Linked DNA regions of Caenorhabditis elegans. The protein of the gene in region 2 purifies or fractionates together with the protein of the main gene of each other region. This does not show direct contact. Each region holds a gene or a part of one and is shown on either strand. Other genes may lie near its edges.

Region 1 (10,666 bases), about 11 Mb from region 2:
CGTCAAATCGGCAAGTTGCCGAATATCAAAACTTCTGGCAAATCAGCATTTTGCAGGGAATTAAATTATCCGGCAAATCGGTAATTACCGGAATCGAAAATTGCTGGCAAATCTGCAAATTGCCGGAATCGAAAATTTCCGACAAATCGGCAAATTTGGCGAAAATGAAAATTTCCGGCAAATATGCAAATTGCCAAAAATGAAAATTTCTGGCAAATCGGCAAATTGCCGGAATCAAAAATTTCTGGCAAATCGGCAAGTTGCCGGAATTAGAACTTTCCGGCAAATCGACAAATTGGCGGAATTGAAAATTTCGGGCAAATCGGAAAATTGCCGGAATTAGAACTTTCCGGCAAATCGACAAATTGCCGGAATTGAAAATTTCCGGCAAATCGGCAAATTGCCGGAATTCAAAATTTCCGACAAATCGGCATATTGCCTGAATTGAAAATTTCCGGCGAATTGGTAACTTGCCGGAATTGACAATTTCTGGCAAATCGGCAAATTGGTGAAATTGAAAATTTCCGGCAAATCGACAAATTGGCGGAATTGAAAATTTCGGGCAAATCGGAAAATTGCCGGAATTAAAACTTTCCGGCAAATCGACAAATTGGCGGAATTTTAAACTTCCGGCAAATCGGCAAATTGGCGGAATTGAAAATTTCCGGCAAATCGGCAAATTGGCGGAATTGAAAATTTCGGGCAAATCGGAAAATTGCCGGAATTAGAACTTTCCGGCAAATCGACAAATTGCCGGAATTGAAAATTTCCGGCAAATCGGCAAATTGCGGAGATTCAAAATTTCCGACAAATCGGCATATTGCCTGAATTGAAAATTTCCGGCGAATTGGTAACTTGCCGGAATTGACAATTTCTGGCAAATCGGCAAATTGGTGAAATTGAAAATTTCCGGCAAATCGACAAATTGGCGGAATTGAAAATTTCGGGCAAATCGGAAAATTGCCGGAATTAAAACTTTCCGGCAAATCGACAAATTGGCGGAATTTTAAACTTCCGGCAAATCTGCAAATTGCCGGAATCGAAAATTGCTGGCAAATCGGTAATTTGCCGAAAATGAAAATTTCTGGTAAATCAGCAATTTGCCGAAAACTAAAATATCTGGCAAATCGGCGAATTTTCCGAAAATGAACATTTCCGTCAAATCGGCAAGTTGCCGAATATCAAAACTTCTGGCAAATCAGCATTTTGCAGGGAATTAAATTATCCGGCAAATCGGTAATTACCGGAATCGAAAATTGCTGGCAAATCTGCAAATTGCCGGAATCGAAAATTTCCGACAAATCGGCAAATTTGGCGAAAATGAAAATTTCCGGCAAATATGCAAATTGCCAAAAATGAAAATTTCTGGCAAATCGGCAAATTGCCGGAATCAAAAATTTCTGGCAAATCGGCAAGTTGCCGGAATCGAAAATCGTCAATTCTTGCCGATTTTCCGTAAAATAAAATTGCCGTCCACCGCTGAAAAGAGTTACAGTACCATTTTTTGGGAAAAATTTGGTATTATTGCAAAACCTGGCAATTATCGATTTTCGGCCGGATATTTTTGAATTCAAATTTTATTTAAAAAAAATTATTTTCAGCCCAAAAAAGCTGACCTTTTGGGATTTTTCCAAAAATTTCGTATTTTCGATGGAATTTTTCAGAGTTTTCAGCTCAAAAATGCCAGAATTTGAAATTTGCTGTCAGATTTTCTAGAAAGTTTTTCTTTTTTCAAAAAGTTTGGTGCAAAAAATCAAATTTTTCTAAAGAATTACCCCAAAAATCCCAAAAAAAAGTATAAAATTACAGAAAACCAGCAAAAATCGGAAAAATTCAATTGTCAAAATACGATATTCGAGCAATTCGGAAGCTGTATGGACAATAAAATATGGACATTTCAGTTTTTTTTTTTTAATTATAGCTTTATACTAACAAAAAAAACAGGTGGAATTCAATTTTAAAAAATCAATAAAAACTCAATAAAACAACAAGAAATGCGGGAATCCTATCTATTGAACTGATAAATAAAATAAAATAAAAGATTTAAAAAATGGAATTCTGATGGGAAAACGACTAAAAATAGAGAAAAAACAATGGAAATTTTCCGCTTTTCCGGCTTTTTTCAATGAAAAATTGAAAAAAATCGGCTACTCGTCTGGTGTGATGTTGTCGAAAATTTGGCGTACTTGTTCGTCCTCCTGAAATAAAAAATACAAATTTTCTCAAATATTTTCGAAATATTCTGGATTTCTTGAAAATTTCTGATATACTGTTGAAGTTTTTTGAAATTTTATGGAATTTTTTGTAATTTCTTGGAATTTATTGAAAATTTCTCATTTTTGAATTTTTTGATATTTTTGAAATTTTCTGGAATTTTTAAACATTTTCTGGAATGAAAAAAATTCGAATTTTCTTGAAATTTTTTAGATTTTTTACGGAAATTTTCTGGAATTTTTTAGAAATTTTTTCTGAACTTCTTGAAAAAAAAAATTTCTAGAATTTTTTGAAATTTCATGGAATTTTTTGATATTTTTGAAATTTTCTGGAATTTTTAAACATTTTCTGGAATGAAAAAAATTCGAATTTTCTTGAAATTTTTTAGATTTTTTACGGAAATTTTCTGGAATTTTTTAGAAATTTTTTCTGAACTTCTTGAAAAAAAAAATTTCTAGAATTTTTTGAAATTTCATGGAATTTTTTGATATTTTTTGGAATTTTTGCGAAAATTAGCGGATTTTTCAGAAAATTTCTGGAATTTCTTGAGATTTCCTATATTTTTTGGAAAAATTTCTGATTCTTTTTAGAAATTTTTTCTGGAATTGAAAAAACATTGTCGAACATATTTTTGAATGTTTGAACTTTTCAGAATTTCAGACATTTTTTAGGAATGTTCTGAAATTTCAGAACATTCAGAAAAAAATTGAAAATGTATTGAAAAAATGTCAAAAATTGGAAAATTTCAAAAAATTACCATAGAATTCCAAAAATCTTTCGAAAAATTTTGGAATTTCCAGAATTTTTCTAAATTTTCTGTATTTTTATTAATTTTTCTGGAATTTTTGAAAAAGTTTTGAAATTGTCTGGAACTTTTTTTTTTATTTTCAAACATTTTTTTTAGGAATTTCCTGGAATTTGTTACAATTTTCTCAAATTTCTTGAAAATATATGGAATTTTTAAAGAATTTTTTTGGAAAATTCCTGAATTTTCTGATTAAAAAAAACATTTTCTGATGCATTTTAGAAATATCTGAAATTTTTTGAAATCTTTTTGGAATTTTTTGGAAAATTTCGAATTTGTTGAGATATTTTTTGAATTTTCTCATTTTTGACATTCTTTTCAACACATTTTCGAATTTTTTAGAAATTTTCTGCAATTTTTTGTAATTTTTTGGAATTTTTGAAATATTTTAGAATTTCTTGGATTTTTTAAAGAAATTTGTGGAATTTCTTGAAATTTCAAATTTTTTTAAAATTTCTGAATTCTTTGAAAATTTCCGGAATATTTTTTTGAATTTTCTGGAATAAAAAAATTGTCTAATATATTTTTTTAAGTTTTTAAATTTTCTGAATTTTTTAAAAAATTACGGAATTTTCTACAACTTTCTCTGCAATTTTTCTCGGTTTTTTCAATTTTTTTTTTGATTTTTTGTCCAAAAATCTTAGTTTTTTCTCGAGTTTTTCCCGGAATTTTTAGTTTTTCCAGTACCTGAAGCATTTCATACAACTTCTGAACCTTTGGCTCCTCAGCTTCAGGACAATCAATTGGATGAACAGGTCGGAATTCAATTTCCGACTGTAAAATCGAGAATCCACCCTTTCCGAGGCCGTTTTCAAGAGTTTGAAGTGATTTTGCATCACAAATTAGTTCGAATTTCTTCGTTGAGTCCTCTTCAATCAGTAAAACCTCTTCAGCATCGAATTCCAGACCGATTTCTTCCATCTGAAACACAAAAATCGATGAAAAATCCAAAATTTCACTAATTTTCGAGTTAAAAACCGATTTTCCTGGTGAAAATCACGCCGGGAGCTGTTTTAAAATAAATTTTACGTTCGAAAAATCAATTTTCAGTCGAAAAATCGTGTTTCTCGTTATTTTTCACCCCAGCTAGCCGATTTCTAGAGATTTTCTGTCATTTGTCGTAAAATATGATGCCTAATCGGTGTTTGCACGTCTAGAGCTACAGTAACCCAATAAACCTCAAAATTCAGCTAGAAACCCAAATTCTTCACTATTAAGTACGTTTCTACCTAGTTGGATAAAACATTTCAATTTTCTTAGATTTTCTGCAATTTGTCGTAAGATTCGGTGCCTGGTCAGTGTTTGCGTACTTCTAGAGCTACAGTAACCCAAAAAACCTCAAAATCACCGTTCGAAAAATCAATTTTCAGTCACAAATTTTGAGTTTTCAGTCTAAAACTGAGATTTTTCCGTTTTTTTAGTTCTTTTAAGCCGAAAACCTCCGATTTTTAGAAATTTTCTGCATTTTTCCGTGAGATTTGGTGTATTGTATTGGGGTACGGTAGTCGGTTTTGCGTACTTTTGACGGTACAGTAACCCGTTTCTGAACGAAAATTCTCAATTTCTACGTGAAAAACTGAATTTTTTTCATTCTTTGCCAATTTTTATTGAGAAAATCGCGCATTTTCAGCGAATTTGACCCAAAAATTAAGTTTTTAAAGATTTTTTCGAGAAAAATCTAGTTTCAGCTGAAAAACTGCGCATTCTTATAGAAAAAATCGTGTTTCTTGTCATTTTTCACTCTGGAAACCTCGTTTTGCGAGATTTTCTGTCATTTGTCGTAAAATATGATGCCTAGTCGGTGTTTGCGTGCTTCTAGAGCTACAGTAACCCGGATAATTTCGAAATTTAGCTAGAACTCAGATAGAAATTATCTTAGGCAGAACGTAGTCGATTAAAGTTAAAATTCAAATAAATTCTGCAATTTGTCGTAAGATTCGGTGCCTTATCGGTGTTTGCGTACTTCTGGAGCTACAGTAACCCAATAAACCTCAAAATTCAGCAAAAACCTCAGACAAAAACGGTTTCAGGTTGAATTAAGCCGCGTAAGTCAAAATTACAAAAAAATTCGCAATTTGTCGTAAGATTAGGCGCCTAGTCGGTGTTTGCGTATTTCTGGCGCTACAGTAACCCGAAAAATCTCAAAATTGAGCTAGAACTCCGATAAAAAGGAATCCAGGCAGAAATTTGCCGATTAAAATTGAAATTCATATAAATTCTGCAATTTGTCGTATCCAAGCCGGTGTTTGCGTATTTCTGACGCTACAGTAACCCGGGTATTTCAAATTGAGCTGAAATATCAGATAAAAATGCTACCAGGAAGGAGAAAAAAGAGCATTATTCAAAATTTGAGCAAACTCCGCAATTTGTCGTAAGAATCAGTGCCCAATCGGTGTTTGCGTACTTCTAGAGCTACAGTAACCCAAGAAACCTCAAAATTAAGCTAAAACCTTAGATAAAAATGCTTTCAGGTAAGAATTAGCCGATTAAAATTAAAATTCAGATAAATTCTGCAATTTCTCGTAAGATTCTGTGCCTAATCGGTGTTTGCGTACTTTCGGGGCTACCGTAACCCGGACTTTTTTAAAATTGAGCTAGAAACCCAAATTCTTCACTATTAAGTACGTTTCTACCTAGTTGGATAAAACATTTCAATTTTCTTAGATTTTCTGCAATTTGTCGTAAGATTCGGTGCCTGGTTAGTGTTTACGTACTTCTAGAGCTACAGTAACGCAAAAAACCTCAAAATTGACCTAGAAACTCCAAAAAAAACGCCGTTAAGCTCCAAATTTTCAGGAAAAAACAGAATTTCAGCATAAAATCGCCCGTACTTCTTCAATATTCAGAATTTTTCCGCCTTTTTTCGTGTCAACATGCACAACACCCTTCTCCTCGAACCAACTACGAACACCACCATCAGCTGCCAACCGGAAACCGCCCAACTTGTTGAAATACTTCCGTAAATCGTTTTCAAACGCTTTTTTGTTCGAAGTTTCGGCGGTTACGATAAGGAATATTCCAGATGGTCCAATGATATCGAACGAGTATTCTACTTCGGGCTTGTCCTGCAAAAATTCGGGGGATTTTTGGAGTTTTTGTGGAAAAATAGACAAAATTTTGCGGTTTTTAGGTTAAAAATCAAGTTTTTTCACTCTTTTTTGCGAAAAAAATTGCATTTTCTGCGATTTTTCATCATTTTTCCTCATTTTTTCACTATTATACCTTCATTTTTTGCAAAAAGTTCTTCAACGTGTCCAGTGGAAGTCCTTGTGCTCTGAATTCGGACTCCAAATCAGCGAGTTCTCGATTGAGCTTCATGTCGAACCCGCCACGAGATACTGCTCCACGGACCTGGAAAAAAAAATCGCTTTTTCTAGGAATTTCTGAGCAAAATTTCAATTTTTCGTATTTAAACTCCATTTTTTCGTACTTTTTACGCCGAAAACCTAATTTTTTGAAATTTTCGGCTTTTTTTCGTAAGGTGTGGTGTATTGGGTACGGTAGTCTGTGTTTGCGTACTCTTGAGGCTACAGTAACCCAAATTTATGGATTTTCTGCAATTTGTCGTAACGTGTGGTGTACAGGGTTACGGTAGTCCGTGTTTGCGTACTTTTGTTGCTACAGTAACCCAAAATCTTGTATTTTTGAGAAATCTGATGGGAATTGTCAATTTTTCTGCAAAAAAATCGTAAAATCTTGGTGTTTGCGTACTTTTGTGGCTACAGTAACCTAAATTTTTCGGATTTTCTGTTTTTTTCCGTAAGATCTGGTGTACTGGGTTACGGTAGTCCGTGTTTGCGTACATTCGGGTCTACAGTAACCCAATTATTTGGATTTTCTGCATTTTTCCGTGAGATCTGGTGTATTGGGGTACGGCAGTCAGTGTTCGTGTACTTTTGGTGCTACCGTACTAAAAATCGCTGGATATTCATGGTTTTTAATCGAAAATTCGCTTTTCTCGGTGTTTGCGTACTTTTGGTCCTACAGTAACCCGAAAACCTACCTTTCTGAGTAAAAAGTTGGTTGCCTTCGACCGAATCAAATCATTTTTTCCCTTCACCGCCTTAATATTCTGCCATTTCGAGTGCCCCTTCTGCTGAAAAACCGTCAAATGCACAGCTCTCGCCGGCTGAAATTGTTGGAGCTTCTGCAATTTCTGAAGCTTCTGGAGCTGGAGACCCGTTGTGGTGAGCCGACGGAGCGGGGAGAACATCTGCAAAAAATTGGGGGAATTTTGAAATTTCAAGGGAAAAATCCCGGAAAAATCGATATTTTCAGGTAAAAACTACCATTTTAAACCGAAAATTGGCTGAAAATCGGAAAAAAAATTGAAAAACCGGTGATTTTTTTCAAAAGGAGAACGAAAATTATGAGATACAATTGAGAACATTTTCAAAAAAAAATTAATAAATTAATGGAGGAAAACTGGTAAAATATGGTAAAATACGAGGGAAAATTAATAAAAAATCGGGGAAAAATTGAGATTTTCCATGGAAAAAATGAGAAAAAAAAAGAGCATTTTCCAGTGAAAAATCTAGAAAATTAGCAATTTTAAATTTTAAATTAATTTTAAATTAAGAAATTCAATTTTACGGTCAAAATTCAGAAATTTCGCTGAAAATTCCACATTTCAGTGTTTGCGTACTTTTGGGGCTACAGTAACCCAAAAATATTCGAATTTTTGAGAAAATTCACTGAAAAACGGACATTGTAGTGTTTGCGTAATTTTGTGGCTACAGTAACCCAAATAATTCGAAAATTTTGAGAAATTTCACTGAAAATTGCGCATTTCAGTGTTTGCGTACTTTTGGGGCTACAGTAACCCTAAAATATTCGAATTTTTGAGAAATTTCACTGAAAAACGCCCATAACAGTGTTTGCGTACTCTTGGAGCTACAGTAACCCGAAAATATTCGGATTTTTGAGAAATTTCACTGAAAAACGCCCATAACAGTGTTTGCGTACTCTTGGAGCTACAGTAACCCAAAAAACTTAAATTTTTGCGAAAATTTACTGAAGAACGGGAATTTTAGTGTTTACGTACTATTGGGGCTACAGTAACCCAAAAATTTGATTTTTTTTTGAGAAATTTCACTGAAAAACGCCCATAACAGTGTTTGCATACTCTTGGAGCTACAGTAACCCGAAAATATTCGGATTTTTGAGAAATTTCACTGAAAAACGCCCATAACAGTGTTTGCGTACTCTTGGAGCTACAGTAACCCAAAAAACTTAAATTTTTGCGAAAATTTACTGAAGAACGGGAATTTTAGTGTTTACGTACTATTGGGGCTACAGTAACCCAAAAATTTGATTTTTTTTGAGAAATTTCACTGAAAATTGGCTTAAATATCAATTTTTAGCGATTTTTTTTGTTTTTCACTCATTTTTCACGGTTTTTTCTCAAATTTTTACAAATTTTCCATGAAAAATAGCTCAAAAATCAAAAAAAAAATCTAATCAACATATTCAACAACACGTTCAAATCTCTTCATAATCTGCGAATCGTGAACCATTTCCTTATCCAACAACGAAACACCCAGCTGATGCTCCTTTTCGAATGGCTGAGCCATTAGTGTGAGCCAACGCCTGGCAACTTGTGCCGCTTCGTCAATGCTCAGATTGGTACAAGCTGGCTCCAGGTATTCCTGCATCCAGCGGGGCAATTTTCCACGTTTGTCGTTTCGGGAGAATCTCTGAAGAAAATTACAAGTTTTGAGGGGAAACATGGAAAATTTGGGCAGAGGTTCCCCGGGAAAGTGGTCAAATGTGCTCTCTGTGAGCAATTTCGGGTGAAAATTCCAAATTTTTGCATATTTTTATGCTAAAATTTGAAATTTCCACACAAAAATCACCGACATAACACATTTGCCACGGAAAATATTTTTCAAATTCTCTAGAAAAATGGGCGGAGCATCACAAGCCACGCCCATTATATGGTCACTTTTCAAAGCTTCAAAATTTTGAATTTTGAAAATAATTTCGCATTTTTAAGCGAAAATTTTCAATTTTGGGGACGAAAAACTATATTTTTTGCGATTTTTGGCAGATTTCTAATAAAAATTTCAGAAAATTGGGCAGCTGGTGAAATTCTTCGTATTTCTTCAATTTTCCGCTATTTTTTTCAGCCAATTTCAGATTTTTTCAGAGTATCTCTACAATTCAAATCATTTTCCGAATTTTCCGTCCAAAAAAAAAATGAAAATTTGGGCAGAGGTTCCCCGGGAAAGTGGTCAAATGTGCTCCCGGTGAGCAATTTCGGGTGAAAATTCCAAATTTTTGCATATTTTAATGCTAAAATTTGATATTTCCGCACAAAAATCGCCGACATAGCACATTTGCCACATGGTACATCAGAATTTCAGCGCATTTCAAGCTGAAAAAAATCAGTTTGAAACTATGAACATTAGTGAACTTTCGATATGTTTTTAACAAAAATCGTGGAATTTTTCTACCAAAATCCAAAAATTTTTTTGAATATTTTTTGCAGCTAAAATGGAAAAAAAACTTGCTTAGCTTTTCAGGTTTTTTAGTGAATTTTGTGCAAATTATTTCAAAGTGTTCTGATTTTCCAGTGAAAAAAATCAATATTTAGCTTTTTTTTCAAATTCTCATGCCACGCCCACAAAATGGACACATTTTTTGTTGAAAAATTGCCAAAAAATTTTCAAACAACTTTTTCTGGTTAAATTTCGTGATTTTTTAATCGAGAATTTTCTGATTTTTCTGATTTTTTTTCGGGAAATCGATAAATCTCTTTATTTTATACCTTATCAGCAAATACCATCAATCCGTAATCAGTTTTCGAACGGAGAGCTCGTCCCATACATTGAGCAGTGTGTCGCATTGCGTCAAATGTCAGAAAATCATTTTCTCTGGAAAAATCATCAAGTTTTGGTAGTTTTTAGGCAATTTTTTCACTAAAAACTCCAAAAAATGTTAAAATTTCATTTGTTTTGAAGCTTTTTTTTTGCAAATTTTGTCGTGAAATCTGGTGCGCGCTGGGATACGGTAGTCGGTGTTTGCGTACTTTTGGAGCTACAGTAACCCATAAACTTCCAAATTGACTGAAAATGCACAAAATTCGAGTTTCTCGTGATTTTTAATTCCGGAAACTCGATTTATAGGGATTTTCTGCATATTGTCGTAAAATTTGGTGTGCTAGACGGTGTTTGCGTACTTTTGGAGCTACAGTAACCCATAAACTTCCAAATTGACTGAAAATGCACATAATTCGAGTTTCTCGTGATTTTTAATTCCGGAAACTCGATTTATAGGGATTTTCTGCATATTGTCGTAAAATTTGGTGTGCTAGACGGTGTTTGCGTACTTTTGGAGCTACAGTAACCCATAAACTTCCAAATTGACTGAAAATGCACAAAATTCGAGTTTCTCGTGATTTTTAATTCCGGAAACTCGATTTATAGGGATTTTCTGCATATTGTCGTAAAATTTGGTGCGCTAGACGGTGTTTGCGTACTTTTGGTGCTACAGTAACCCGGAAAGTTCTTGGAAATTGAATTTTAGGTGAAAATTCGCGATTTTATTGAATTTTTGGCTGAAATTCTCATTTGAACTGTAGAAAATTCCTACTTAATTCCAAATTGATCTCTCAAATACTCCAACCGGGCTCTGAGTACTCGGCTC
Region 2 (6,970 bases):
AAAGTTCAAATCATTGAGATATTTTAGCGGATAATTGAAATTTTTTGGTCCAAAATTTTTATAGGAAATTTGGGAGTTTTCAGGATGTTCCAAAAACTTAAAAAAAAAATATTTTTTACAATCTACAATAAAATCTTACAGACAACGCGGACTGTAAAATTGAAGATGCCAACGGCCGCGTGGCCCTGCACCTGGCCGCCTACCACGGGGACCCCTGCCTCCAATTGATTCTTGAGAAGCACCCCATAGTTGACGTCATGGATAATATGGGACAAACTCCATTGATGTTAGCTGCTAGTCAAGGTCAATTGGAAGCTGTTCAGTTTTTGACAAAAACCGCCAAAGCAGACGTAGATGCTATCGATAACAATGGGCGAACTGCTCTTCAATGGGCGGCTATTAATGGTCACCCGGAGGTGGTAGAGTTCTTGTGCTCAGTTGGATCGGATGAGGGACATAAGGATAATGATGGTGCAGTGGCTCTACACTATGCTGTTACCCATGATCATGTGGAGCTGGTAAAGCATTTGACGAATCAGCATACGGTAGAGGCAAAGGATCGATATGGACAACATCCGATGATGATTGCGGCGGCTAATGGAAATTTGAAGGTAGGAAAATCGAATAAAATTGTTTATAGAAAATTCAAAAATTTAAAAAAAATTGCAATTTTGGGGGCCAAGTTCAAAATATTAAAAAAAAAATTAAAATCAAAGTTCCAGAAAACTTGTAAAAATTAGGTTCGAAAAAGTTTTTTATTTTTCGAATTTATGCTCGATAAAACGATAAAATGCTGCAATTTATTTTCAAAAAAAAACACATTCTAAAATTAATCCAAAAAATTTGGCGCGGAATTAAAAACTATAATAAAACTTGTTGCAAAAATTTGAACATGTTAAAAAATATTCTAAGAAATTCAAAAAATTGTTTATAGCTTTCGAAAGCACGTGGTGTCAGGCTGTCCCATTACGGTTTGATCTACAAAAAGGCGGGAATTTTTCGCCCTAAAAATGTGACGTCAGCACGTTCTTAACCATGCGAAATCAGTTGAGAACTCTGCGTCTCGTCTCCCGCATTTTTTTGTAGATCTACGTAGATCAAGCCGAAATAAGGCCTCTTGCTCTGTAAGGTCACCAAACAACAATGTATCTTTTCAGGTCCTGGAGTACCTAATGGGGATCTCCGACATAATCAACCAACCTGACCACGAAGGTCGCACTGCCTTATCCCTCGCCTCAATGGCAGCTCATACCTCAATAATCGACTTGATATCCCCTCGCATCACTGATTGGAGCCAACGGGACCACGATGGCACCCCACTAGCCCACACCCTAATCCTCTCCAATCTGATCTTCGTGGCCGAGGTTTATCTAGGCCATGGTGCCAACTCATCCGACTCGGATGCTCATGGCCGAACTTGTGTACACGTGGTCGCTTCGACGAATGACGTGGCGGCAGCGAAAATGCTGAAGAGGATTGGTGGAGTAAATTTTGAGGCAGTTGATAGAGGTGGGCGTACAGCTTTGATGACTGCAGTTTGGGCGAAACACGTGGCGATTTCGGTGTTCTTGTTGGATAGTTGTGGAGTTGACCCGAATCGAACGGATCGACAGGTATGTTAACTCACTAGTCCTACAGTACCCTAAACTACAGTAGTCTTAACCTACTGGCCGTAGTTCTACAGTAACCCTAAGATATCGTAACCCATAAACTATAGTTTGCTTAGCCTAAAACAATCATGTCCAACTAAATAAGGATCATGTATACAATACCAGTATCCTACCATATTATCACAGAGTCGCTAGAGTATAGTATCCTCTGCTTACTGCAATCCTTCAGTACCCCTGAGCTACAGTAGCCATTATTGTATAACAGAACTGCTAGAAAATAGTAACCTTAATCCTACAGTAGCCTAAGGTACTGTTACCAACAGTAAACCTATCATTCTAGATAAGATACAGTACCAATTTCCAGGGTGCCACTGCTCTCTCCATTGCCGCGCAAATCGGCGACCGCGATCTTGTCAACCTGCTCCTCAAATTTGGCGCCGAACCAGAGATCAAAGACTCTATGGGACGAACCGCCATGGATGTGGCCATGATTTCTGGCAACGAGCCAATAGTTTCTCTGCTCCAATCTGTAAATGGCTCATCCGGATCATCTGGAATTGGCTCAAGTGTCCCCAATAGCCCACTCGACGCCAGTAAACAGCGTATCCTGAAAGCCACATCATCACTGAGAATGCCTCATAGAATTGATAATAATAATCATTGATCTCATATTTTCTTTGCTGAAAAAATAGTTTTTTTTTGGAATTTGATCTTTATTAACCGGTGCTTTTTTGTATGTCATTAACTCGGTCACAGTTTTTTTTCGAATTTTTACCCAAAATCTTTCTCATATTGTCAGTATTATTATTGAAAATTAATAATAAACATTCACTGAAAGCTAAAAAAAAAGTAACATTTTCAATTCTCGCAATTTGCCGATTTGCCGGAAATTTCAATTTCGGCAATTTGTCGAAAATTTCAATTCCCACAATTTGCCGCTTGGCCGGAAATTTTCAATTCTGGCAATTTGCCGGTTTGCCGTTCCTCAACAAGAAACCTGACTCTATCCAATTTCCTCCAAAACTACAACCAACGGTCACTCCCATTAAGAAACCCCATTCAGACCGTTAGTTTCAATAAACCTGCGACCAAAAAATGAAAAACCGTAACCGGTTTCCACCAAATGGAGCTCATCTGAAGCTAATTAACTGGAAGAAAAAAAAATTGAAAAGAGACAGCGTTAAAGACAACGTTCTAATATGATAAGAGACAGATATGAGCTAGTTTAGAACACTGGCGCCAGCAGCAGCAACCGGAGGAGAAGGAAGAGAAAAGTTTCCGTTTTTTTCTTGTCTTCAAATTAAACGGTTTCGATCTTTCGTCTGACCTGACCTGAAAGAAGGGTCTTGTCCATATAAAAAGGAACTTTTGATGGCCAAATGCGCTCAGTTTTTTGTGTCAGTCCAAAACTACTTAAAAATGTTCAAGATCCTCCTAGCCCTTTGCATTGTTGGATGCTCATTTGCTGCACCAATTCATGGAGATGTTGACGATGAGCTTTTGGTGAGAATTTGATTTTTTTTTGGTTTTTTTTTCGTAACATTTGCCCACCGCCACCATTTATAGGTCATAGAAGTTTGCTTAGTTTTGCTTTGAACACTTATAACTTCCTGAATAATCACGATACCAAAGAATTGTCAACTGAAAAAATGTAGCAAATTTTATTTTCTACAATTTTCTAGTTGACAACTTTTTTGTACCTTATTTTCCTGTTTAGATAGACACGCTAGAAGTTTGCTGACTGTAAGAGGAACGCGTATAGCTTGGAAAATTCATAGGCTATGAAAAAGATGTCAACTAACAAATAGTGGTGCTGTGAGGGTACGGTAGGATTACTGTAGGAGTGATGTATGGGTACTGTAGGGGTACTGTAGGATAGCTGTAGGATTACTGTAGTGGTACTGTAGGAGCAATGTAGGGTGTTCATAGAATTACTGTAGGATTACTGTAGTTGTACTCTGAGGAGGGGGGTACGGTAGGAGTGCTGTAGGATTACTGTAGGAAAACTGTAGGACTAAATGTAGGAGTACGGTGGGGGAGTAGGGGAACTGTAGGATCACTTTTGGAGCAATGCAGGGTGGCCATAGGATTACTGTAGGGTTACTGTAGGATTACAGTAATAGTACTGTAGAAATACTGTAGGAGTACTTTACGGGTAGTGCAGGGTTACTGTAGGATTTTTGTAGGGCTACTGTAGGGGCTACTGTAGGATTACAGTAATTATTGTGTAGGGATACTGTAATAGTACTGTAGAAATACTGTAAGAGTACTGTAGGATTAATGCAGAGGCACTGTAGGGAGAGCTAGTGGTACTGTAGTGGTGCTACAAGATTACTGTAGTTGTACTGTAGGGTTACTGTATTTTTGGTTTTTTTTTGAAATAAGTCTCAGAATTTTTTTTGGCTGGCGGTTCCTTAAAACGGGTATACCTTGGCGAGTTCGTAAGCCATCAAAAAGTTGCCAGCGGGTAAAATGTAGCAAATTTCATTTTCCACCACTTTTTAGTTGACAACTTTTTGGTATTTCGCTCTCCCGCTTAGGTACAAGCTTTTGAAATTTGCAGACTGAAAGCTAACTTACCCCTGTTACAATTTAAAAATTCTTGTAACTCGGAAAATAAGCAAACTTTAAAAATTTGTCTTCTACAGGGCCTCGCTTGGGAAGCCGCCGCCACCAGCGTCAACAACGGCAACCGCGGGAAGTTCTGGGTACCCATCGAGATCCAGAGCTCGGATAAAAATGGAGCAGTAACAAATCTCGTCGTGGTATTCCAAGAGTCGTGGTGCAGTGTTGAGGAGGGAAATGATCTCGAGGATGTGTGCGAATCTATGTGCCCAGTATATTATGGAGGAGCTAAGGCTGTGAGTTTTATTTTTATGGAGAGCTCTTAGATTTTAAGCTTCGGAATTTCAGACATATCGTGTCACGGCTACCGAATCCAACGGGGGAAGTGATTTCGAATCTGTTAGAATTGAATAGAAAATGCTTTAATCTATCTTTTGTCAGTTAATTTGTACATAATCAATAATCACCTAATAGCTTTCCAATAAAAAGTTTTATTTTTCAATACTCATCATCCCCATTATCATTAGCATCGGAATCCGCGCCAACCTCCTCATAATCCTTCTCCAAAGCAGCCAGATCTTCACGTGCCTCGGAGAACTCGCCTTCCTCCATTCCCTCGCCAACGTACCTGGAACAAAGAGGTGTTTTGACAAAGAGGTGTTTCGACATTTTACGGGTCATGCACTGGGCTGCTGGGCAGCCGACATTAAATAGAAGCGCGTATCTCAGCTTTGGTCTTGTAAAACCCTATGTAACTCCACGATGAGCAGAGCTATCAAAAAGTTGCAAACTTGAGAAATATTTAGAATTTAATTTTCTTCATTTTGCTAGTTGACAACTTTTTGCTAACTCTATTCTGAGCTGTTAATTGCGGTTTGAAGTTGAGGCATCACTCCCACAGCTCCCTCATGCTTTCTCTAACTTCAAACTTGCTTAACTCGACAGTGAAAAACGTTATCAAAAAATGGTCAACTAACAAAATGTTTAAAATTAAATTTTCTCTATTTTGCTAGTTAACAACTTTTTGATAACTTTATTCTCAGCTGAGTTATAAACGTTTGAAGTTACGGCAACACTTCCGCAGTTTTGTCTAACTTCAAACTTGGTTAACTCCGCGGTGAAGAAAGTTATCAAAAAAATTTCAATTAAGAAAATATTTAAAATTAAATTTTCTATAATTTGCTAGTTGACAACATTTTGCTAATTCTATTCTCAGCTGTGTTATGATAGTTTGAAGTTGAGGCAACACTTCCGCAGTTTTGTCTAACTTCAAACTTGGTTAACTCAGCGGTGAAGAACGCTATCAAAAAATTGTCAACTAACAAAATATTTAAAATTAAATTTTCTATATTTTGCTAGTTGACAACATTTTGCTAATTCTATTCTTAGCTGAACTATGAACGTTTGAACTCACCAATGCACAAAAGCTCTCTTGGCATACATCAAATCAAACTTATAGTCCAATCTCTGCCACGCCTCCGCAATTGCCGTAGTATTCGACAACATACATACCGCCCGTGGAACCTTTGCCATATCCCCACCCGGGATTACTGTAGGCGGCTGATAGTTCAATCCAACTTTAAACCCAGTCGGACACCAGTCCACAAACTGCACGGATCTCTGAGTTTTGATCGATTTTATCGCAGCCGACACATCCTTCGGCACAACGTCTCCACGATACAGTAAACATACAGCCATATACTTCCCGTGCTTCGGGTCACATTTTACCATTTGATTTGAGGCTTCAAAGCAGCTTTTCGTTATCTCATCAACTGATAGGAACTCGTGGTGGGCTGAAGAGATCAGTGGATTGTAGGCGACAAGGGGGAAGTGGATTCTCGGGTAGGGGACCAGATTGGTTTGAAATTCGTTTAAATCCACGTTGAGAGCACCGTCAAAGCGTAGAGATGCCGTGATGGAGGAGACTACCTGGAAATTTTTTTATTATTTTCATAAAAAATTCGTTTTTTTAGTTAAAAGTACTGTGGGTTACTATAGTGGTACTATAGCAGTACTGTAGGATTACTGTAGGGGTGCTACAAGAGTTCCGTATGGGTACTGTAGGATTGTTGCAGGGTTACTGTAGGGCTACTGTATGATTAATGTAGGGGAGCTGTAGGGTGGCTATGTCCTAGGAGGTAGGAGGACAAGGAAATAAGGCCAAATATTTATTTATGAATAAGAAGAAGGGGGGAAACAATAGTGTATATATTAAGGGATCAGTAAGGGGTGGAGGGTCCAGAAAGGATGGTAGGGGATTCTACATCTAGAACCGGTTGATGCTTGAACCATGTTATATGCACAGTATAGCGTCTTATATACCATACGTACAAATCGAATTATGCTAATGTTGGGGGCGAAGGTGGTAATGTGATGGGAACGAAGGGAATATTGTTTCCCTATGACTAATAGAAGATCAGAAATCATAATCAAAGAGCAAGCGATTTGACAGGCTATAGGGGAATCGTAGGATTACTGTAGTGGTTATGTAGTAGTAGAACTGCAATGATACTGTAGGAGTACTGTAGTGGTACTGTAGTAGTACTGCATAAGTATTGTAGTGATATAGTAGGACTACGGTAGTGGTACTGTATGAGTACTGTAGGAGTACTTTAGGGGCACTGTAGTGGTACTGTAATAGTGTTTCCGGAATACTGTATCAGTGTTGTAGGAATACTGTAGGACTGTTGTTATGATACTGTAGGGGTACTTTAGGATTACTGTAGTGGTACTGTAGGAGAACTGTTGGAGTACGGTAGGATTACTGTATTTTTCAAACGTTTTAAAAAGCTGAC
Region 3 (7,682 bases), on a different chromosome or scaffold from region 2:
TTCTTTCCGAAAACTCCTCAGAATTGAAGTATGGCATATTTACAAAATCTAGCCACATGTTCTTATCACCAGCAAGAATGAGTTGAAGCAGGTAGTCCAGGTCAAATACAGAAAAATCGAATCCAGTTCTCGTCACCTCATGCTTTGTGAACAACCATCCTACTACAGCTTTAGACAATCCTTTTGTTTCAATCGTTGATTCTTCGATTGCTTTTCGACAAGCAGCCATCACATCTTGCATTTGTGGATCATCAATTAGACGTCGGGCATAGCATAAATTCAAATTATTAGCCTTTCTCAATCGATATGCTGAACCCGAAAGTTGTTGTAAGAGAATTGGCAATAGTTGATGATCGTTGCATACAGTTACTAATTTTGCCCATCGGAAAATAGCAAGCCTCTCCACAGGTACAGTAATTGAGCATTTGGATGATGCTTTCTTCACAGCATTATCCAGTGTATACTTATCCTTTTTCGTAAGAGTTTCGAAAAAATGTCCATAAAAAGTGTTGAATGACTTTTGTTCGACTCGAAGCATAACATACGATGCAAACGGAGAAATCGATAGCATCGAATCAGGAATAAGTGGGGATACTGTATTGTCGGATGAAAACATAGACATAATACCCTTTGATTGGTTCTTTTCAGCTGCGAGTTGCTGTTGATAAGCTTGAAATATGATACCAGTTATTTCGTAGAGTTTGTGGGTATCATTAACAAATGCAATACGAGCAATAGTTCCCACTATTTGATATGTAACTGCATCCTCATTCCAGCCAGTTCTTGCAGCACAAAGTAGTGTGATCCAAGCACGCAGATAATCTCTAGGAGGTAACTTTGCAGAATAGTAGGAAATTGCTGAACATATAAGCTTCACGATAGGAGTCGGCGTCGATGATGGTCCACTGAGCCATTGAACTGCATATGGAAGTTGATCAATGTGTAGAAGACGTTCGAATGTTGTCATGAAGCTGAAAATTAAGTCAAACGATTAGATTTTAAATTTGCATAAAATTACTTTTTATCAGCAGCCATCAAATTCACATTCTGATAATGTTGAGCAATAAGTCTTGAAAGTAAAACAACAGAAGCCACTGAACTTCCAGATGTTACTAAATCCGATAGAAGAGGAACTCCTTTTTCCAAGTACACAACCACATCATCTTCACAATTTTGAACTATCCTCACATAATGTGCTGTTAGATCATTTTGAACCAATGAGGAAGGTATCGTTGGAAGTTTGAGCTTTACGAGCAGGTCCCAACAAAACTGCTGGAACAACGATTCGGCGTCTCCAACTTTTGAAGCGAGTTTTGATATCTTATTTATAGACTTTGATATCATACTATTCGAACGTGAACAATGAACAGAATGAGCCTTGACCACAGTATCTGCTGCAATTGTGTGCACATCTACATCAATCCACAAGTTATGACCATCAACAGCCAATCCCCAATGCAATCCAGAAAGAACTCGCCGAGCAAGACGATTTGCTCCGTGTTCTGGAGGATTATTAATGAGCCATTTTCCTATGATGCTTATCATTGGTTCCGTTAATCGACATTCGAAAAGTCGTGATGATGATAAAACATTGATTGCATAGGAATCCATATGCTGAAGATTTCGATCAATAATAGTGAGCAATTGATGCAATGTTTCAGGTCTTTTTATAAGAATTTGTCCAATTGCTTCACCACCACATTTATACAAATCATCTCGAGTGTCTTCATCACAAAAGCAAACCTGCAAAAATGTAAAGTTTTTAGTTAAAAATGTTCAATCTCACATCAATAAGCTCTTTCAAAAGTTGCGAAACATCCGAATTTGAATAAGATCCAATTGAGGCCAATGAGTTGACAAGAAATTCTGAATCCTGAGCTCCAAGCGCACCTATTCGTTTTGAAATTCCTTCTGAAATTAATATGTTTATTATTTTGGTTTACTCTAAAGAAACTGACGACTACTAATCCTGGCGCGTACTTCACAAATTGGTGTATCATAAATCTCGTGAATAGACATTTTCTTATTCGATCTTAAAGCATATTCACATCGGCTTCTACATTCTTCGGAAACCACAGCATATGGTAACGACACCACAAATTGGAACAATCCAAGGGTGTCTTGATGAATCAAGTAATTTAGAGCTAGAAGTACAACTCGATCTACTTCTTTCTGAAGATGATGCTCTTCGCCTGGTCGAACTTGATCTCGAATAAGTCGCCAATTGGAGCAAAGTTCCCGAACGCTGTGCCTGAAAGAAAACACATTATCTAGGAGCCAAAGGATAACAAACTCACTTGAGACTTATTCCAATTTGCTTACAGAACATTTTATATCCGGGTTGAGAATAACTTGTCAAACCATTATCAAGAATCTTAAAAATTCAATGTTTCTATCATAAATTTAGATATTACTATACTTACTTTCATGAGCAAGAGCTGGAATGCAATCATAGCAGTAAATTGAGATCCTTTGTCAGAGTCTGAAAATTTGAAAATTTGAACGGTCTAAGTTTACAATTGCAACTTGAAACTTACATGAAGTGAAAGCAAGATAAGCAATTGAATAAAGCTCAGAAATCGGAAATTGATCAAGGAATGCAGTTAGATCTGATTCGTTGATTGTGACAAATGAAAACTCATTTGCTTCACCGTCATCGTCATCTGCAAGAATCTCCCAAGTTGACTCCTCTTTTTCAGATTGAGCAACATGGCGAAGGAAAGATTCTCGAGCTTTGATTGGGTTGAGGAGATGAGTGAGAAGTGCAACACAATAATCAAGCTTCAACTTTGGAGCAGATTGTGATTGAATGAAGGTTTGTACAAATGGAGAAGCCCATTGATCAATTGGAGATGGAAGACGTAAAAGGTGGCAAAGGAGGAATATACCGTCGTCGCATGATTGACGCATATTCAACACACATGTCTGAAACATTTTTTTACATAAACGTTACATTACGAACTTGAAATGATTTACCAATTCTTTGATCCATCCAACAAGTGTATCTATAAATCTTTTTGAAAGTCTTGGATACCGAAGATGATAGAATATGTCTGAAAGAGCAGTGCGAAGAGCAACTCTACCCGGTGTCATAGGTACACTGGCAATTACTGAAATACATTCATATTCAACTAGTAAGCTGTTGAAATAATAAACTCACAACTGGGTGGACAATTTGTAGACAACCCGTTTTCAGCCATGAAATTATTATTGATAATAATAACCTGCCATTGAATTTGTAGAGCAATTGATCTAAACGAAGTCTCTTCACAAACTGAATGATCCATCAGATTGCTTCGATTCGTAGAGAGAAGTTTCTTCATTTGATCCAGTACTGCCTGTTGCAGTTCAAAAGAAAAATACGATGCTCTACCTGTACCATCATTGTTGTCTCCACATTTTCCTTTTGCATCAACAGAAAGAGATTGTTGAACCCAACATTCTCGTAAACATTTTTGCAATTCTTCTGTATTCTCTTTTCCTTTCACTTCACTAACAGTCATTAGGTCACATACTGTTCTTAGTCTAGCTAAGAGTGGAAATAAAGATCCAGATTGAGTTGGTACTTCCTCAGTTTTAATAAACTGATCAACAAACATTTCGGCGTGCTCATAAAGGGGATTATGGTAGAATGTGACCAAGTTTTCTTCAGTCATTAAACCATGTTCATTCCGTTCGTAAGTTTTGATAGATGGATACATCGGAGGAGCTTCTCCCTCTCGTACACGCTCTCTCTCAACTGGTGCAGAAAATCGTGTTTTTTCCTACAAAAATAAAGAAAAATAATAAGGTTTCAGATTAAATACTTACTGGAATGGCAGTAGCTGAGTGTGAATGCTGAAGTCCTCCATTTATTGAAGGATACACTTGCGGATGTTGAAGCGCATCAGTATAGGATGGAAGTTCGGCTAGTTCGGGGACAGCTGGATATGAAGCAACTGCTACACTCCGTTTTGGTGCTACCGCTGTAGTTGATTCTTTTCTAGATTCAGCAACCATGCTGGTACTTCGTGGAAAGATCATACTTCTTGGAGGAATTGGTGGAGCTTCTCTTTCTTGAGAAACACGCTGAAAACAAATGATTCATATTTTGAGTTTTAGAATTTCAACTGACTGGTGGTGGAGGGGCTGGTCGAACTGGACTACTTCTCACATCTTTTAAAGGTTCAGATGCTTCTTCGCGTTTCAAGGAATCTTCGGTCAAGCTTATATCCCTGGAAACGTATACATATTTTTCAGTTCAATCGTTATTTTACCACTTACTGATCTTCAGGTTCCGGTGATGCTGATCTTTCTGGTAAATCCTCAATAGTATGTGATGGAGCCTGAAAATAAAATCAATATGAAACAAAAAGTTTAGTGGTATTGTTATTACCGCAGGGAGTCTCAAACCATTCACAATTGCAGGACGATCTGGTATTGGGGGTGTATAATCACTTTGTGCTCGCTCTCGATGTTTTGGCTTTTTTGGACGAACCAATTCCGCCATTTTGAAACTAAATTAATATATTTTATTAATTTTTCTTATAAAAAGAAATGCGACAAGTACAGTACGAAGTCAACAAATTAATTCAATAGTCGAGGATTTCAACTAGAAAATATAAAAAATCTGTATAGCAGGATAAATTGCTCTATTTCTGCATTTTTTAGTATGAGTCACGAAAAAAAGTGGTCTGACGGCAAATAAAAACCCGAATTGAACTGAACACAGCACGTGAAGAGGGAAAATGACGACAAATACGCAATGTCCGTCGTCGTGTTTGCGGACCAAACCATTTTTGTGAAATCGATCGGGAGCCCGAGCACTCTACCGATTGAGAACAGTTGATAACTATAGTATAGATTCGATGAGAACATTTATTATTTTGAAAAAGTTTTTACAAAATGTCCCATGATTTTTTTTTTAATATAACGACATTGACACTGAAAAACAAATAAATTTATAGTTAGAATGCTTCGAGAAGAGAAATGATAAGAAAACGATGTGCAAGCATTTTGCTATTTCAACGTCAATGTCTACATGATTTATAACAGGAACTTAGATTGAAAATGGATTTTATTTCGGAAACAATCGAAAGAAAAACATATTTTCTTTTTCATAGTTTTTTCCTTCTGGGAATGGTCTGCAACATACGTTATGTTTTCGTGAATAGTAGATTTGAAACAAACGAGATCTTATGAATTTCGAAATCTAGAAACAACATGGTTTACTTTTGTGAAAACCTAATAACATTTGAAGGCTATTTTTAATAATGCCTCTCACCTTTTGCCAATCTCTGAAATTAATGCTGAAATTAAAAATAAGGTTTATCATTAATATTTAAAAACTACGTGGAGCATTCCAATTTATATATTTTTGGATCATGTCACGGAGCAATATTTTTGTAGTTTCCAAAAGCAAATCCCTTTTTCCCAAATCGCAACTTTATTTTTTAATGTCCATTGGTTAGTTTTAGGAGTGTGAATGAATGTTTCAAATCTCTAAACGGTTTATCTACGAGAAAGTACACAAAACGTGAGAGAAACCAGACACTTTTGACAGGTAATTAATAGACAGTTAGTGTGAATTTCTACGATTGCCAAACCAATTTCTTCGTTCAATTCGCACACTCACACATGAGTTTATCGTTGATTTGTCCTTGCGCAATTGAAACATTTCCTCGCTTATCTGCCACATCATCCGGACATGAGATTAATGAGATTTTGAATCTGAATTGAACAGGATATCAATTCAAATGAGAGACGATCAATGAGCAAACCATTAGAAAGCGTTTAGTCTGAAGAAATTGGTTACTGTATTGTAGGTAAATGGTTTGGACTACAGTTGGATAACGTTTTACAGGAGATAAGTTTGACATGCTTCGTATCACATGAAGATAATATTTTGATAAAGATGTTTGTACATAATGATTTCAGAATTCAGAACAATTCTGGCAGAAATGCACGAAATGTTTGAAAGAAGAGCTCCAAGAATAGTCTTTCACATAGGCACAAAAACGACTCTAGTACCAGATTCAAGTGTCTTTTTACCTTCCTTGAGTCAAATTTGGAACGTGGGGCAACCTGACAGTTTCTGACAATTATATAAAAGGATTAAAAAACCTGAACTAGTTAATTTAAAATTTAAATAATATGAATAATTCTTCAAACACCGGAAGCTTGTTTAAATAATACATCCAGTTCTAATTTTGAAGCAATTTTGTAAAAATGGTAACTTTCATTTCAGCATGCTTCTCCCTTTTAATTTATGTTCATCAAAGACCCCATCCGAAGGAATTCATAAATTTTTATTTGTTCATCAAAAACCTGGCATCTACAATTCACGCTTTCTTTGAGGATATGATCTACCGCCTGAAAGTGTGTCCGTACAAGACAACCCAAACAAAGTTTATTCAGCAATGATTAATCGACAGAGACGTTCGCGCATTTTTTCGTGAGGAAGCGGCACTTTGTGAGTGTAAGATTTGGTCGGGACGGCGAATTGTCCCTTTGACAAAAAATTGGAACGAGAAAGGAAAGATTAGAATGTTGCGATCATATGGAAGATGATGATGTATTTCTTAATAGAGCAATGTTCTTTTTTTTTAATGTTTATGAAACGATTCGAGTTCTAATTCCCAGACGTAAAATTGATAATTAATATTACCTGAAAAAGTGTCCTTCTAATCAGTTTCTTTATAATTATCACCCAATTGTATTTCTTCTAAATGTGATGATCTCATGAACTAATGATTGCATCGACACTTCACAGTACCACTTAATAATGATAAATGGGAATCGATTCGTCTTAATTGGCTCTCTATCTGTGCCTCTGGAAAAAGAAAAGAATGAAACCTTTTCTTGAGATGGTGTAATATTCAATCAGAATCCCGTCCCTCTTCACAATCTTCCAACATCTTCATTCGAACACACACTATGTGTCACCCCGTCTCGCCCAATCGCTCACTATTTCAGCCATTGAATCACATTACTCGCCACATTTCGAGGTGAGCGGTTCGCCCGCAACAATCAACTAAATGTTGCTTTTGAGAAATTGAGAGCGCCCGTTGGCATACCGTACTCCAATGTCTTTTAGATGTTTTTTTCTGCTTGCCGCGTTGAAATACTTGTTCATTGGCCCAGTGGACTCAAACCGTGTTACAGTAACCTATGATGTTTTGCTGAGGCATTGAATACCTTATAGCAGTAGAACCATGTGTCACAGTATTGGATTCCAGAGGAACATTTATATTTTCTTGTTCGGTAGCTTTATTAAAGGAATGTATACCATTACAGAGAATCACTTCTTATAATTACCCTACATGAATTCAAGAATTGTGATAGAAACCTTTAGCTTGTAAAAATTGCATAATCTAAACTCTTGGTGAATGCGGTAAATTTATAATATCATTCTCGGGCCAAAAAGTCATTAGGTATTTGAATCTGGGTGCAACTTGTGGGAATTTGTCATTAATTTTCCTAAAATGGCCCAAAGGTTTGTTAAAAGAGTTAACAAAAAATACGTAGAGTTTGAGAAAAAGCAAAAAGAAAACGCGCAACTTCTAATTATTAGTTGGATCGTTTTCTATTGATTTTTATTATATATTTCAAAAACTGTAGAAAATTAAACTGTTGTATTTTTTGATTTCCAAATATAGTATATTCCCTCGATTGGTAATTTCAAATTTAAGAACATAGTAAGA
Region 4 (6,070 bases), on a different chromosome or scaffold from region 2:
TTTCCCTTCACCGACAAATTGCATACGCTGAATAAATGTTTGAAGTCTTGTTTGATTTTGTTTCGACTGAGGAAACTGATAACAGAGCAACTACCATATTTCGAAATATTTTGGTTTAAAACTTGTTGGTTAGACTGCTATCATCATTAGTTTTATACAATTCAATTTATCCTCGCAGTCCGCTAAAACATCCTTTTTGCATTAAACTCAAATCATTTGCTTCATAAGGTAAATTTCAAAATTTTCGTTTTGAAGTAGAGTCCTTTAGTTTTTTGCTTCAAATTATCAAATGTGGGTCGCAATGTCCGAATATAAATGTTAAAAAATTATAGAACGCTCATAAATTTTTAATTATTTTTTTTTATTTTGCAACAAAAAAAATTAGAAATGACTGAAATTTTCGACTTATTTTAAATTGCAGCGCAAACGTGTATAACCTTTCGTTTTTGCGTTTTCTGACAAAATTCATTAGTTTCTTTTTCTGATTTTTCCTTAAAAAATTGGTTGTCTAACGAAAATGCCTCTTCTACGCACTTCTACACTGTTTACCTTTTATATTTTATTACTTTTAACATCATAATGTGACATCATAATGTGAAATTTTCGTTTTGAAGTAGAGTCCTTTAGTTTTTTGCTTCAAATTATCAAATGTGGGTCGCAATGTCCGAATATAAATGTTAAAAAATTATAGAACGCTCATAAATTTTTAATTATTTTTTTTTATTTTGCAACAAAAAAAATTAGAAATGACTGAAATTTTCGACTTATTTTAAATTGCAGCGCAAACGTGTATAACCTTTCGTTTTTGCGTTTTCTGACAAAATTCATTAGTTTCTTTTTCTGATTTTTCCTTAAAAAATTGGTTGTCTAACGAAAATGCCTCTTCTACGCACTTCTACACTGTTTACCTTTTATATTTTATTACTTTTAACATCATAATGTGACATCATAATGTGAAATTTTCGTTTTGAAGTAGAGTCCTTTAGTTTTTTGCTTCAAATTATCAAATGTGGGTCGCAATGTCCGAATATAAATGTTAAAAAATTATAGAACGCTCATAAATTTTTAATTATTTTTTTTTATTTTGCAACAAAAAAAATTAGAAATGACTGAAATTTTCGACTTATTTTAAATTGCAGCGCAAACGTGTATAACCTTTCGTTTTTGCGTTTTCTGACAAAATTCATTAGTTTCTTTTTCTGATTTTTCCTTAAAAAATTGGTTGTCTAACGAAAATGCCTCTTCTACGCACTTCTACACTGTTTACCTTTTATATTTTATTACTTTTAACATCATAATGTGACATCATAATGTGAAATTTTCGTTTTGAAGTAGAGTCCTTTAGTTTTTTGCTTCAAATTATCAAATGTGGGTCGCAATGTCCGAATATAAATGTTAAAAAATTATAGAACGCTCATAAATTTTTAATTATTTTTTTTTATTTTGCAACAAAAAAAATTAGAAATGACTGAAATTTTCGACTTATTTTAAATTGCAGCGCAAACGTGTATAACCTTTCGTTTTTGCGTTTTCTGACAAAATTCATTAGTTTCTTTTTCTGATTTTTCCTTAAAAAATTGGTTGTCTAACGAAAATGCCTCTTCTACGCACTTCTACACTGTTTACCTTTTATATTTTATTACTTTTAACATCATAATGTGAAATTTTCGTTTTGAAGTAGAGTCCTTTAGTTTTTTGCTTCAAATTATCAAATGTGGGTCGCAATGTCCGAATATAAATGTTAAAAAATTATAGAACGCTCATAAATTTTTAATTATTTTTTTTTATTTTGCAACAAAAAAAATTAGAAATGACTGAAATTTTCGACTTATTTTAAATTGCAGCGCAAACGTGTATAACCTTTCGTTTTTGCGTTTTCTGACAAAATTCATTAGTTTCTTTTTCTGATTTTTCCTTAAAAAATTGGTTGTCTAACGAAAATGCCTCTTCTACGCACTTCTACACTGTTTACCTTTTATATTTTATTACTTTTAACATCATAATGTGACATCATAATGTGAAATTTTCGTTTTGAAGTAGAGTCCTTTAGTTTTTTGCTTCAAATTATCAAATGTGGGTCGCAATGTCCGAATATAAATGTTAAAAAATTATAGAACGCTCATAAATTTTTAATTATTTTTTTTTATTTTGCAACAAAAAAAATTAGAAATGACTGAAATTTTCGACTTATTTTAAATTGCAGCGCAAACGTGTATAACCTTTCGTTTTTGCGTTTTCTGACAAAATTCATTAGTTTCTTTTTCTGATTTTTCCTTAAAAAATTGGTTGTCTAACGAAAATGCCTCTTCTACGCACTTCTACACTGTTTACCTTTTATATTTTATTACTTTTAACATCATAATGTGACATCATAATGTGAAATTTTCGTTTTGAAGTAGAGTCCTTTAGTTTTTTGCTTCAAATTATCAAATGTGGGTCGCAATGTCCGAATATAAATGTTAAAAAATTATAGAACGCTCATAAATTTTTAATTATTTTTTTTTATTTTGCAACAAAAAAAATTAGAAATGACTGAAATTTTCGACTTATTTTAAATTGCAGCGCAAACGTGTATAACCTTTCGTTTTTGCGTTTTCTGACAAAATTCATTAGTTTCTTTTTCTGATTTTTCCCAGCGTGCTTTTTTTCAATGATATCGATAATTACCTTATTGCGAAATGAAGTTTTTGAAATTTTTTGATATTTCAGATGCATTTACGCGACTTGGATATCTTGATAAAATTAACAAAGCATTGGATGACTGAGGAACTAACCGATCATATGAGCTACAACAGAGCCATCGAATGGGATAAGCTCATTATTAAACTTGAAAAAGTTCCAAAAAAACTGTCTCTTAATTCTGTAAGTTGTTTTCTTACGATTTGCTCGTTATAAAGATTTAACTTTTCTTTCAGAAAAAGTATTTAGCAATCCTTGTTGATGAATTCTGCATGGATACGCCAAGATACGGAATTAGCCCCTGGTTTGCTCACTACATCCTATGCTATTGCAAACATAATCTGGACGACGCTCGCGAAATATTAATCGCCAATAAGTGGAAATTGGAAAATATTGAAGAATCTTATGTGAGTTTTTATAATTTTATTATGTGCGAAAGGAAAAATGGGTTGAATACTGGATCGGTTTTACTGTTAGACCTACCAATCGGCGCTCAAAAAAAAAAACGAAAAAAACATATTTTTTTTTGAACGCACCGTTTTTATTTTAAAAATACTCCCTTTCGCATTTGAAACAGACGTTTCTCCACTTTTGATTCTTGCAATTTTCGCAAAATTAATGTGATTTTTTCAGGAAAAAATTTCCGAATTCCAAAGACAACTAGACTTGAATCGTAACAACCAAAACAATGACAAAATTTATGAAGCCATTAAAAAAGAAAAAGAAAAGATCAGGAAGAATGTCTATGAAAGAAATGAACAGTTGCGAGACTTTAAGAACATTCCATACGGATTCCAGCCAACCTTAGAACTTCACAACCTTATGCAGGACCAGATTGAGGATTTCATCGAAGAATATCTTGGACAGTACTTGGAAAAACTTGGAAAACTTGGACTTGGAAAAAAATACAAAGGTTAGTTGCATTTATAAACATATGAAATAATTTCAATATTAAAAATTAAAGTCTGGTCGTAAATAAATCTAAAAAGGGTGCGCAATGAGTAATAGTTTCTGTTAAAAGATTAAGAATTTCCTGGGTTTGAAGTTTTAGAAATTCAAGCTTACTAAACGTTTCTAATTTCGTACTTTCTTCTTATTCTTAATGTCTTAAGAGTTTTAATTTTAGTTTTTGATTCGTTGAAATAACCTTTTAGTAAAAAAATATAAGTAAACTTTAGACAGCTCTGATAGAACATTTTATTGACCAAAAGCGACCTAGGTCTCACGATGCTCAAAACGCAAAAAAAAAAACGAAACGTGTCTCAAGAATCAATTATTTGTCGCGTAAAGCCTTTTGATTATGTAATACTTACAGAAATTACAACCATAGTTGGCAAAGGCAGTAGCTCACTAAACCAAGTTCCAGTAATAAAGGAAAAAGTGATGGCGATCTATGGAAGAAGAGTCCGCGAACACTCCAGCAACGGAGGCATACTTTTCTTCACAATTTAATACTTAAAAATCACTTTCAACCTTTAAATATTCATTGCTAAATCAAAACTTAACGTTTCTCCAATTTTACCGACTCCAATTTTACCATAACGATAAAAAAAATTAAAATTTTGAACCAATAATAATTAAACAGTCGAAATTAAACAACAAAAAAAACAAAATTTCGAAACATCCCCTAACTTGTATAAGCCCCACGTTCCCAGTCGCCTTATTTTCATTTTATTGTACGTCGCCTCTTCTCGTAAACTCTTTCTTTGTTTCACTTCCCCACCCAAGTTGAACCGCTGAGGATTAAATCTGAGCTAGTTTAGTTATTGCCTATTCAAATTTGATTGATCAATGCAATTTTTGTTCCCGTTGTTTAGTTGTATTGTTAAATATTAATTTTTATGTTTTTAATTTAAATTACTTTGTTTTTATTCACCATCATAATTTTATCGCCCACTCTTTAAGTTTTCAGCACTTTTTAGGTTTCTTCTTTTTTATATTTCCTGGCGAGTTCCCAGTGGGGATATCCGTATTTATTGTCAAAGTTTCCGTCTACAAGCACTTTTAAATTCTCAATTCGCTTGTCACCTCATTTCGTGTTGCACGAAAAAAGGTTGGCGTATTCCTTGTTTCCTTTGCTGGAACGTTTATCGTGTACTTGCTTGAAAATTTTGTCAATACTTTTCATATTCTTCTCTATGTTATATTTGATTTTGTTTCTACTTTTTTTTGCTTTGCATTAGCACTTTTGTGTGCAACTTCTCTTTATATTTTAAGATTTTGTCCAAATAAACATTATTTAAATTGAAATATTGTGTTCTCGTGTTTATTTTCAGAATTTTTCGCATTTGTCAAGAGAATATACAGACAAGAAGCAAACGTAATACAGGCACGTGACAAGCGTGAAACATGCACATGGTAGGTCTGACGCAGGTATGCCGGTTAAAGGTTCCTGGTATTATCTGAACCATATTACAATTTGTATTTAAACATTTTCCGATATAAAAAGTCATACAGATACATAGATTGGAATATATATTTTGTGTTTTGCTAATAATCTAAAAACCTTTGCTCATTACGTTTGTTTTGATGACAAGCATGATGATGCATATTTTTGAAATACCTTGTCTGAAAAAACATATGTAAAAATGCTTTCGGTGAAACTGAACGTATAACTGAACGTCCAATTTCATATAAAACGAACAACATACTTCTAAAATGCCGAACGGCGACTCAGAATATTATGACTACGTTGGTTTTGAGGATTTAGATGGAAAAGAAAAGATGTTTTGGACTTCTATCATGAATTTTGCCAGGTTTGTACTTTTTTTATCCCAAACCCCAAATTAAAGTCAATTTCTTGCAGCAGGTACAGTTTATACCTTGATCATGCCAGTCTTGTAATTGCGACATTTGGATTATTCGGCAATATTTTCCATTTAGCAGTTCTCACTTGAAAATCGATGAGAAACTCGTCAGTTACAGTATTCTTAATCGGAATCGCAATTTGTGACTTTTTTCGTATGACTTCCACAGTTGTCTCACTTTCTAAAATGTGTTATGATGAATTTTCAACGCTGGAAATTTCAGACAAATGGTAAATTTTGGAAACTAATCACTTTTAAACTCTTGTAGAGGATTTCAGTGTTCCGCCACAATCATATCTTGAAATGTCAATTTTTCTAGCCTTGAGTTCATTAGAAATGCTTTCCTCAGACTTGTCAGTTTGGCTTGCAGTTTTTATGACTTTTTTTCGTGCTCTGGTCATGCGATACCCATTTCACCAGCGGTGAGTTAGGGCTTTCATGGGAGGCAGGCGAGGTTTTGGGGCCTTACGCCCGCTTCCAACCTGCCGACCTCTCGCCTCATTTCTGCACTACGGCGAGAAATCAAAGGCTTGGTGTTTACACGACATAGTGCGAGAGATGGTTCTTTCGCCGCGGCCGACACT

Evidence for each region.
Region 1: the proteins of pugs-8 (region 2) and taco-1 fractionate together in Caenorhabditis elegans (co-fractionation; one large-scale study listed by BioGRID). This does not show direct contact.
Region 3: the proteins of pugs-8 (region 2) and epg-5 fractionate together in Caenorhabditis elegans (co-fractionation; one large-scale study listed by BioGRID). This does not show direct contact.
Region 4: the proteins of pugs-8 (region 2) and K10G4.3 fractionate together in Caenorhabditis elegans (co-fractionation; one large-scale study listed by BioGRID). This does not show direct contact.

The regions. Positions count from the first base shown.
Region 1 is NC_003281.10:280,683-291,348, reverse strand, and holds taco-1 (Transcriptional regulatory protein), read right to left. Parts: upstream 7,233-10,666; coding exon 7,023-7,232; intron 6,371-7,022; coding exon 6,242-6,370; intron 6,085-6,241; coding exon 5,851-6,084; intron 3,941-5,850; coding exon 3,707-3,940; intron 2,199-3,706; coding exon 2,148-2,198; 3' UTR 1,886-2,147; downstream 1-1,885. Other genes in the region: Y50D7A.13 (Peptidase metallopeptidase domain-containing protein), read left to right, coding at 1,810-1,885; xpd-1 (General transcription and DNA repair factor IIH helicase subunit XPD), read right to left, coding at 8,476-8,715, 9,789-9,894, 10,613-10,666.
Region 2 is NC_003281.10:11,363,761-11,370,730, forward strand, and holds pugs-8 (Cystatin domain-containing protein), read left to right. Parts: upstream 1-2,993; 5' UTR 2,994-3,029; coding exon 3,030-3,113; intron 3,114-4,258; coding exon 4,259-4,471; intron 4,472-4,523; coding exon 4,524-4,589; 3' UTR 4,590-4,673; downstream 4,674-6,970. Other genes in the region: T28D6.4 (Nephrocystin 3-like N-terminal domain-containing protein), read left to right, coding at 142-611, 1,158-1,613, 1,975-2,274; tba-7 (Tubulin alpha chain), read right to left, coding at 4,674-4,803, 5,590-6,104.
Region 3 is NC_003280.10:6,604,868-6,612,549, forward strand, and holds the start of epg-5 (Ectopic P granules protein 5), read right to left. Parts: upstream 4,499-7,682; 5' UTR 4,490-4,498; coding exon 4,376-4,489; intron 4,326-4,375; coding exon 4,264-4,325; intron 4,215-4,263; coding exon 4,115-4,214; intron 4,069-4,114; coding exon 3,811-4,068; intron 3,765-3,810; coding exon 3,161-3,764; intron 3,111-3,160; coding exon 2,977-3,110; intron 2,926-2,976; coding exon 2,538-2,925; intron 2,483-2,537; coding exon 2,424-2,482; intron 2,375-2,423; coding exon 2,298-2,374; intron 2,252-2,297; coding exon 1,959-2,251; intron 1,912-1,958; coding exon 1,787-1,911; intron 1,744-1,786; coding exon 1,019-1,743; intron 972-1,018; coding exon 1-971.
Region 4 is NC_003283.11:17,261,593-17,267,662, reverse strand, and holds K10G4.3 (uncharacterized protein), read left to right. Parts: upstream 1-2,707; 5' UTR 2,708-2,709; coding exon 2,710-2,862; intron 2,863-2,915; coding exon 2,916-3,086; intron 3,087-3,312; coding exon 3,313-3,597; downstream 3,598-6,070.